Linked DNA regions of Drosophila melanogaster. The protein of the gene in region 2 interacts with the protein of the main gene of each other region in a biochemical or structural test. Each region holds a gene or a part of one and is shown on either strand. Other genes may lie near its edges.

Evidence for each region.
Region 1: the proteins of Sas-4 (region 2) and ana2 are reported together in a solved structure, tested with the Drosophila melanogaster proteins (one study listed by BioGRID).

The regions. Positions count from the first base shown.
Region 1 is NT_033778.4:8,898,208-8,902,382, forward strand, and holds ana2 (anastral spindle 2), read right to left. Parts: upstream 2,005-4,175; 5' UTR 1,914-2,004; coding exon 1,160-1,913; intron 1,109-1,159; coding exon 600-1,108; 3' UTR 522-599; downstream 1-521. Other genes in the region: Sec31 (secretory 31), read left to right, coding at 44-115, 182-370; CG13751 (uncharacterized protein), read left to right, coding at 2,135-2,368; MrgBP (MRG/MORF4L binding protein), read right to left, coding at 2,443-2,633, 2,686-3,100; Ggamma1 (G protein gamma subunit 1), read left to right, coding at 4,141-4,175.
Region 2 is NT_033777.3:7,149,731-7,155,028, reverse strand, and holds Sas-4 (spindle assembly abnormal 4), read right to left. Parts: upstream 3,663-5,298; 5' UTR 3,622-3,662; coding exon 1,777-3,621; intron 1,726-1,776; coding exon 865-1,725; 3' UTR 810-864; downstream 1-809. Other genes in the region: MAGE, read left to right, coding at 1-663; gfzf (GST-containing FLYWCH zinc-finger protein), read left to right, coding at 4,399-4,863; CG2656 (uncharacterized protein), read right to left, coding at 3,831-3,978.

The DNA.
Region 1 (4,175 bases), on a different chromosome or scaffold from region 2:
AGGAATAACTTACTTTTGTTTATAAATTTTCTTACATTTTAAGCGCACAAAACGAAAGTTTGTCGATGTTGTCAAGAGGCTCGAAAATCTCTACGACTGCCTGAGAGATGGAAAGGTGAGAGCTGCTGCCTTAGATCGCGATTCAATTGCAATTCTCAAATGGCATTTACTTTAATTCCAGCTCACTCCCACCACGGTGCAATATCTGAATCAAATAGTTCAGTACATTCAAATATCCGACTATGCCAATGCTATGGAAATCCACACGCAAATCGCCTTCGGAACGGACTTTGCGCAGTGCGCGGGCTTTATGCAGGGACTGAAGGTCCTACTGCAATCCGCATCCGAGCTACAGTTGGTTCTGCGTTAGAGCCCCGTCGCCGGATCGCAGCCAAGTTCACTAAACGTATATTCTTATTGTGTCTTCAGATATCGATGTCAAACACAAAATGTTTTGTATACAAAGAGTGGTTCTCTACGTTAGTTTAGGCTGGGATCACCAGAAGATTGTCAACGTTATTCCGTGTATTGAAATATATTTCCACTTAAATCGCAAATAGACATATGCATAAATAACAAAACGAACATTGTACATGCTTTCACAACAGCTTCGGCTGGTTCCTGATATTCTCCAAGTCCAGTTGAATATGTGGCGAAGGGGCGGTCGCCGCCATGGGAGATTGTGGACACACCGGCTCCAGTTGCTCCTCGGGCAGCAGACGGTATTTTTTGAGATACTTGTACGAAGCATTGGATATGTCGTTTGGACTCTGCGCGTGGCCTATGTTGTCGATCGGACGCAGTGGCTCTGGATTAGGGGACTTCGGCGACGCCCCCAGGCGCATATCCTTCATCAACTCATCCACTGGCTGGCGCAAGTATTTCAGCGCCAGCTCGTTCATCACCATGCTCTTCTCGGTGTTGGGCTTGGCCAGTTGAGGGATCCGCTTCGCCTGAGGCGTATTGGCCCGGTAGCCCGTAGATTGGGCGATCGGCGGATGTGGTCGAGGAGACGGAAACTGAGGAATCACTCGTGCTTGTGGCGGCGGCAATGGTTCCTCCTCCTCTGCTATGTAATCCTGCATAATGGGAGACAAGCGTCTACCTGCTAGGAAGGATGTTTTATTGGATTCTTTTCATACAGATTCAACGTACGCACCTTGATTGGTGGTCAGAATATCGCACTGGGTGCCAGTGGTACTGCTGGCTTTTGAAATGGCTTCGGGTTTCGCTCGCTGCTGTTGCTCCAAAATCATCTCGCAGAGATTCCGAAGCTGTTGCTGCTCATGGCGCACGGACTCCACAAGGGATACCAGAGCCGCCAGATCACTCTTATTGGCCAAGTTGCTGACGTCGATGTCGGAATAGACAACCTGGGGCAGTGATTTTCGCGGAGGAGATGGGTTGAAGGGATCGGTCTGTGTGCCAGCACAGATGGTGAGGACATCTGCGTTGGAGGAGCTGGACAAGCGCCTAGATTGATATGCCTGTTGCTTGGGCTCGGCATTATAGCCACCAGCATTGCAGTTCATATGATTGGTAGTCTGCTGCGCATCGCTTGCATAGTTGCGATCCCGGGGCATTACTTGGTATTCCTTCGAGGAGCACGGACTATTGCTGCTGGGAGCGGTGCGAGGACCCAGTTCTGTGGCCAAAATGGGCGAAAAGTTGACCCTGGGCAGCATTTGCTTCTTCCAGGACGCGAAGGTGGGTGCAGCACGAGGGGATGACTCCTGATGTGCATGATTTGGCTGCTGCGGCTGCATCTGCGGATCCTGCGGCGGCTGGCCAAACAATATGGATACCTCCGGCACGGTGGGCCCTATAATCTCATTGGTGTGGCCCATGGGCACTGCTGCACTCGGCCTGGGCGCTAGTCTGGGCAGCATATCCTCCGTTTCGGGAACAAACATTTGGAGCGTATTTGTTTATATTTGCCGATTAAATTAAATTCGAGCGGGAGAATCTGTCCAATTGGAAGTCGATCGACTTAGGGGTGGAACTAGGGCTGACGTAAAACGCCAACTTATCGATACTTTATCGAGTGTACCCTACACTTAGCCAAGTTTCCAAGTGCACGAGTCACCCAGCGGACTGTGTGTCATAGCAAAAGCTGAAATTTCTCGGGGGAAAAATGCCTGTTTTGGAGCACATCAAAGCCATGGCAGAGACTCCGACTCCAGCTGAGAACAGCCCTGCACCGGCAGACGAGAATGCTCCGCCCCAGGCAGTCCGGGAACTGACGCAGACCGACCATCTCAACCGACGCCTTCTCAAATCGCTCCTGGAAAACATGCAGGCCACCGAGGTTCTGGCGCAGGAGAACGGGAACGGCTCCAACGAGGAGGACAACGATTTCGAAGAATAAATCCTTTTATTAGAGTACAGTAAAACTAATGAGCTAAAACGGATCAACAATCGTCAGTTTCGGGCGGGGGTCACCTATATGCGACGGCGCTTGTTGCTCTGCACCGGCGGCGGCGTAGTGGAGGGGCTGATGGACTCGTTGGACATGGAGCCGCGTGTGCGCTTGGCCGGACGCTTGGGCAGCTGCTCCTGGGGCTTGGCGACGGGCTTTTTGTCGCCGTCCTTGGTGGAATTCGTCGGTACCGGCGTTTTGGTTGCAGGTGGAGCTGTAAAACAACATTACAAGTGAATGAATCCTGATGATAACTAACGAACTACCTTTGCCATTGGTCTCTGCTGTTGGAGGGGCCGACTGTGCCTCTGCAGCCTCCTCGTTGGCATGCACTTCCACCGTCTTTTTGGTCTGTAGCGTTCCGTAATCCTGCTCCGGCAGGCTGAACTCGCGCTCCTCGTTGGGAAAGGGCAGCGACTCCAGATCGTCCAGTTCCTTCAGCTTGTACATGGTGCCCAGGTGGCGCCAGATCAGCTCGCTGGGCATTTCACGGTTCAGCGACTTGGACAGACGCTGGACAATGCAGGACATGTAGAAGTGCTTGTTGATGCCCACCGGGCGCAGGCCTTCCATTGCATGGAACAGCTGCAGCTCTTCCTCGGCGGACCACTCGTGGTCGAGGGCGGCCGGTAAGGGGGCCGCCGTTCCGGCCACAGCCAGACCCTTGTCCTTGGCCATCATTTTGCAGAGCGCATGGAACTAAAAACTGATACGTATTGTATGTTTTTCTGCGCGAATATTAGCGATGGTATGCGGGTGCGCTCACGCACCCGAACTATCGCCGCGCGGCACATCACTAGTTTGGGTGTGTATCCACTTTTATTCGTCAACTTTGCTCGATTTTAGCCCGTAGAGTTCGAGATTTAAAAAAAAAAAAAACATATAAGCCGGAGCTGGTAATTAACAAATAGTGTGCAAATATAGTTATGTGTTGTGTGTGCATCCGTCGAAAACTTCACTTTTCCACTATAATCCCTCTGCTAACCACACGGCGCAGTACGCCTTCGTGTGTTTGTGTGTGTGTTCTCCTTCACTATTTCTGCATAAAAAACTAATTTTCGGTGTTCCCAACGAGTTGAGCAGTGTTTTTTGCACACAACTCGGGTTCTCCATGTGCTGGCACAAGTAGCGCCCACCGCCCACCACCACGCCCACTTGGGGTCAGTTAATAACCTTGCACTTGTTCGCGTCAAGGCTTCCAGTTCGGCTGGAAAGTTAATCAGCAATGCGATCGATGAAACCAATGCCTGCGTTCGGTTCTTTACATGTGCCACAAAATAACACATATGTTAATGCGTAGTGTGACTCACTATCTAGCTATCCTAACTTCCCGCCTAGTACTAAACACTGACTAAACTACACCAATCTACCAACTATCTCTGTCTAGAATCGCGAAAATGTACACATATGTTATAGCTTTGTGTCGCCTGTTCGATGTTGTGCCCGTATGGGGAAGCCTGTACAAAGAATGAGATATCTAAACTACATATAACCAACTTGTTATTTCCAGCCAGCCATTAAGATCCATCCAAACCAGTATTCCCAGAATCATACGATAAGATAAGCCAAAGCCAAAGATCAAAGACCAAGCCCTTCGGCGAAGCCACACAAGCACTAGCAACCAAGCACACCACCCCAAATCCACTATCCCGTAATTGCATTTCCCAGTATCCGTAACACTGAGAACCTTTTCAACCATAGGCCTATCCGAGACAGCCATCATGGACGTAATGTCATCATCCCTGCAGCAGCAGCG
Region 2 (5,298 bases):
GCCATCCCCTCGCAGGAAGCGCAACAACCCGTCGATGTGGTCGACGCCAAGGTTCGCGCCATTCTAAACTACATCCTTGATCATACCGCCCAGAAGATTCCCATAAAGGACAAGGATTTGATAGCGGTGGCTGGGGACAAGAGCGAACTGAAGAAACGCCTGCCGCTGGTCACTAATCTGCTGGCCGAAACATTCGGTATAATACTAACCCCACTGGACGCGACCACCAAGACGTTCATCTGCACTGCGGAGGAGCCGGTGGCCTCCATTCACGAGCTGACGCCGGCTCAACGGCCGCAGTTCACGCTGCTGTATATTATTCTCATGTACATCTTCCTGCGCGGCAACCGCATCGAGGACTCGAAACTGTACGTTATGCTGGAGATGCTCAACATCTATCCAGACGAAGAACATGGCTACTTCGGCCCCAATCTGCGCAAACAGATCGAGGAGACGTTTGTGAAGCAACAATATCTGAAGCGGGAACGCTCACAGCTAAGTGCTTACGATGATTCCAAGACTTTCTTCCTTTGGGGACCACGTGCCAAGGCGGAGTTCACATTCGAGCAAATGGTGCAATTCGCCTCCAAGCTGCTCAATCAGCATCCCAAGGTCTTCGGCCATCACCTCTCCATGGCCCAAGAAGGAGTAAACGCGGAGTAGAATACCATTCTATGAATAATTTACTACATTTGATCTAACAAATTGAAAACCAAACAATATATATAATAATCTAAAATAGAGCCAATTTCCCATTTATCAGCAAGAAAAGAATATTACGATGATCTTTTAAAAATAGCACGTCTTTTCTATTTATCTAAAACTTAAGTTAATTTACTTAACAACGGAAGCAGAGACCCGACTCTAATACTTGGCATAGTCTGTGTCCATTATGAGCTTGCCATCCTTGTCCTTCAAACGAACGCGGCCGTTGGAGTAGCGCGTCTCTTGGCTGCCATCCGGATACACTAGCTTCACAGTGCCGTCCGGATACTCCCTTCGCTTGTTTAGTTTGGTGTGAATCTCCTTTTGGCCATTGGGCAGATTGAGAATCTTGTCACCATTCCGGAGCTGCACTAGATGGGTTCCATCCGCATAACGCCACTCCTCCAGTTTCTCCGTATCGCTGGGATCCACAATCTTAATGCTGTTGTTGGGAAAGTGAATCTCAACAGTGCCATCCTTGCGGCGATGTTCCGTCTGCCCGTTGGGAAACTCGAGTATTTCCAAGCCATCTAGGTAGGAGGTGTGCCAAGTGTTGGTCTCAGCGTAGTAATACTTCACTGTGCCTTCCCTGATGTTAGTTTCCTTGATATCCTTGTTGAAATAGAGCATGCGCAAGTTCATGCCATCGGCGCTTATCTTTTTTAGATTGCCGTTTGGGTACCAAATGTCCTTGCTCCCATCCGCATTCGTAATCTCCCGCTTAAAGTCACTGCTGGAGTTGGCAGCCGGTGGGGGGGTAGCAGCTTTCGGAGCGGTCACGGGCGGCTGAACTTCCTCCGATTCCACAGAACTACTAGAGGCGTAGCTCTCATCCAGAGCGTATGGTGTTTTCTTATTCCTGCTCAGTGAGCGACTCCGACTTCTCACTTGGGCACTGCCGCTACTCTGACGACGGTTTTGCGCCTCTCGCTGCTTGGCAGGCTTACCAGCAGTGCCGTCCAGAGATTGGGTGCGCCGACCGTTCTCATCGAGGATATCGGACATTGTCGCGGAAGGTAACTAAATGAAGACATTAGTTACATTACGATATACACACAAGCATGCACTTACCACTTTGGGGGCAAGCCGGGCTATGTTTCGATTGATCTCCTGCAGCATCTTGCTGTTGTTTTCGCGGCCAATCTTGACCAGCTCTTGCTCTAGGCGCTTGTTCTCCTTGCGCAGCAGCTCGATCTCGTCACGGTAGTTTCGCTGCTCCTTCTCACTGGCCCGCAGTTGAGCGCGGAGTCGTGCCTGTGCCGAGACATGCGCCTGCTCCTTTTGTTTGAGCTGGAGTTGCAGTCCCTCCACTTCCTGTTTCAAGGCGGCTATCTCCTTTTTTTCCTTGCTGTTTGCATTGCTCTTTTGAAGTCGCATTTGCTGCTCGAACTTGCGTCGTTCCTCCTCAATCTTCATGCGCTCGTCGTGCAGATAAATTTCAGCTTGAATCTTTTCGTCATGGACGCGTTCCATGGCCTCCATGTGATCCTGTGTGCACTTTGCCTTCTCCAATTCGTGTTGCTGCCTCAGGCGAAGGAGTTGGGCATTCTGCTCCTTGAAGGTGGCTATCTCTGTCTCCAGCTCTTCGAGGCGAGTGCGAACGAGATTGGCTTTCTCCTGAAGATCTTTGGTTATGGGTTCGTCTGACTCCTTGCTGGGACTTGACTTCTTCTTCTGTTCCAATGCCTGGAAGAGGGCGGACTTGAACTGTTCAAAGAGCTGAATATTGGAGCCGTCGTTGAGGCTGGTGGCATCGGAGTACTCGTGCGTGTCATTGGAGTCGGAGAAACGCACTCGCACTTTAGTATTCCCCACCTGGATGGGTGTCATTGTGAGGGTCTGATCGCTGGACGGTTCGGTGTCCTCCTCGTCCCCCTCCTGCAGTTCCTGCACCAGCATCTGGTCCACCTGTGGCTGCAATCGCATCTGACGCACCTGCTGTGTGACTACAATGTGATCGGAGTCATCAGCTACTCGGCGACGCTGATCTTTGCGCGCCATAAAGGTTCGAATGCAGCTGGAGTTCATATCAATGTTTCCCTCAGTGGCCTTCTGCTCGAGCAGCTCGAATATGCTTACATTGCTGTCATCTTCCACTCGGATTTGAGCAGAGCGTCTTTGGATTTGCGCTGGCTTTATACTCTGTGTGTCCAGCACCTTGGCCCAGCAAACTCCTGTCATGGGACTAGCTTCCGAGGAGGCTTCATCATCGGCATGAGTGGTTTGTCCCGCCCTGCTCTTCTGCTCTACAAAACGAACTCTGGGCGAGGTGCTCGAGGCGGTTGTGGAGGACGCATAGGAAGACTTTAGATCTGGAGTGGAACTGCAGGCGTTCTTGCCGATAAGCATCTGCTGAAAGCGCTGCTCGTTGAGATCGTCGAGCTGTGCTGAGGGTTTGGGAGCTGGTGGAGGCGCAGGATTGGGAGGTGACTTGACTTGCTTCTTGAGAATACCCTTTTTCATTTGAGGCGTGCGGAACTGAGGGTGGGCATTAGCGAACTTGTATCGCGGCAGGTTTTCCAGGCGCAGCTGGTCGGGATTGATCTTGAACCGCTGCTTTAGACCTTCGCCGCGACGCAGAAAAGGGCGTTTAGGCTTGGCCGGCTGGGGATCAGCCATTGAAATCTCTGGCTCGTGCTCGTCCGGATCCGCCGCGAGTCGCGGCATTTGTATAGAGTGCTCCTCGTCCCACTCCTCCAGCACACTGTTTTCATGGCTTTCCGTTTCCTGGTGTAGCAGTCCCAGCATTTTGTACATATTACGTTGCTCCAAGCCGAGCAAAACGCGGTGATTGGACTGCCGCTCCTGCAGCAGCCGCTTCTGCTCGTCCTGCCAACGACTAAGCGCCGCGAGACGCTGTGCGATGGCCTCCTGGCTCAGAGGCATTCCAACAGGACTTTCGCCAGCCTCCTGCATGCTTTTATATTCGTTCTTAGAATCGCAGTTTTGTTTAGACGCCGTACGCGTAGGGGAATTTAAAATTACGGCAGCAGTTGTCCAACACTGTACCAGTGGCAACTCTGCGGTCAGGGATGGTGCTAGACATGCATTTTGATTAGATTTAATTTTTTATTAAAAATAAAATATTGTACATTTTCTTAAGCAATATGAAAAATTGATTTTTTTCAATCCTGATCCCCTTCCTCCGGTTCATCAAAGTCCTTAACGTTCACGTCTGCATCCTCGCCGTACTGCAAGATACTGTCAATTTGTAGCAGAAGATCGCCCACGCTCTCCTCGTCCTGGGAATCCAACGGGAAAAATCTCACCAAACTGTAAGTGAATAATAAACATCAATATTTACAATTTTTGAACGTCACAAAAATAACCGATTTTGATAAGTGGCAACGCCACCGCATAGCTCGCAGCCCTCGTATCCCACACAAAAGCATTTTTCGACGCGTCGCAAAAGAAAATGTGCTTGTGCAATTAAAATCGAGTGATAAAAACCAAATATAAACCCTTTTAGTGCATCAAACTGCAATAAATCAGTGCGTTTGGGTAAATGGCCGGCGTTTGCAAAAAGGCGCGCAAATAGTGAGCTGACGAAATACCACCAAAAATCCCAACCAACAAATCCCAGGCAGCCAGCCACTAAAAAAATCGCCTAATTTACGATACAAAACACTTTTCGAGGGCAAATCGAAAAACGCTGAATTCCGGGCTCGGGCCAAACAGCGCACCAATTCAAAAATGGAGACGCCCGTCGAGGAGCACGGCATGGACCTGACCAAGGTGTCCGTGGTGCGCTCCGCCAAGGGCGTGGATATGCTCTGCGTGGACGACTATCTGTACCACTTCGATCGCATCGGGCGGAATAACACCTACCGATGGCTGTGCAACAGGCGCAAGGACAAGTCCACTCCCTGCAAGTCCCGCATCTGCACCATGCTGCCCGATCCGCTGGACAAGACGCGCCACGTCGTCGTGGACGTCGTTCTGGCCCACATCCACCCGCGCTGCAGCGATCACGAGGTCAACAAGGTGGCCCAGCGCAAGCGGCTCTCCGTAATGATGATGAACGACGCTTACAGCACCACCCAGCCGAAGAGAGCACGCCTGTACGAGCGCGCCAACGCCGGCATGAATCCGCCGGAGTTCATCTACGGAAGCATCGACACCTCCACCGTGGAGGCCTCGTTCCAGTTGGACTTTGAGGTACGGCCCCAGGCCAACTGTACCTGGCTCATGCCCCTGAATACTCAACTCAACCATTTATTTAGAATCTAGCTGGGTCTCTTTTTCAGAAAGAACATTGATATTAATATTGATTCATATTTCGGTAACCACCGCTACTTTGAACATTTGATAATGTAAAAAAAAGGTTAATTTGCTCACCTTAGTAATGAGATGGTTTCCCGCCAATTTGTTTTTTATATTTATTTTCCTATTTGCAAATCCACCGGCTAGGCCGTTAAAAGGACAATAAATACCAAAGCTTAATCATTTATGATTCAAAAAATACTATATATCTCCAAACGAAACTAAATATTAGGGATTTTTGAAAAAAATGGGACCCAATCATTTTATAACATGCACCCTACTGAAGGGAATATCCAAGGGAATGAAATACTTTTGAACTTACACTTAACT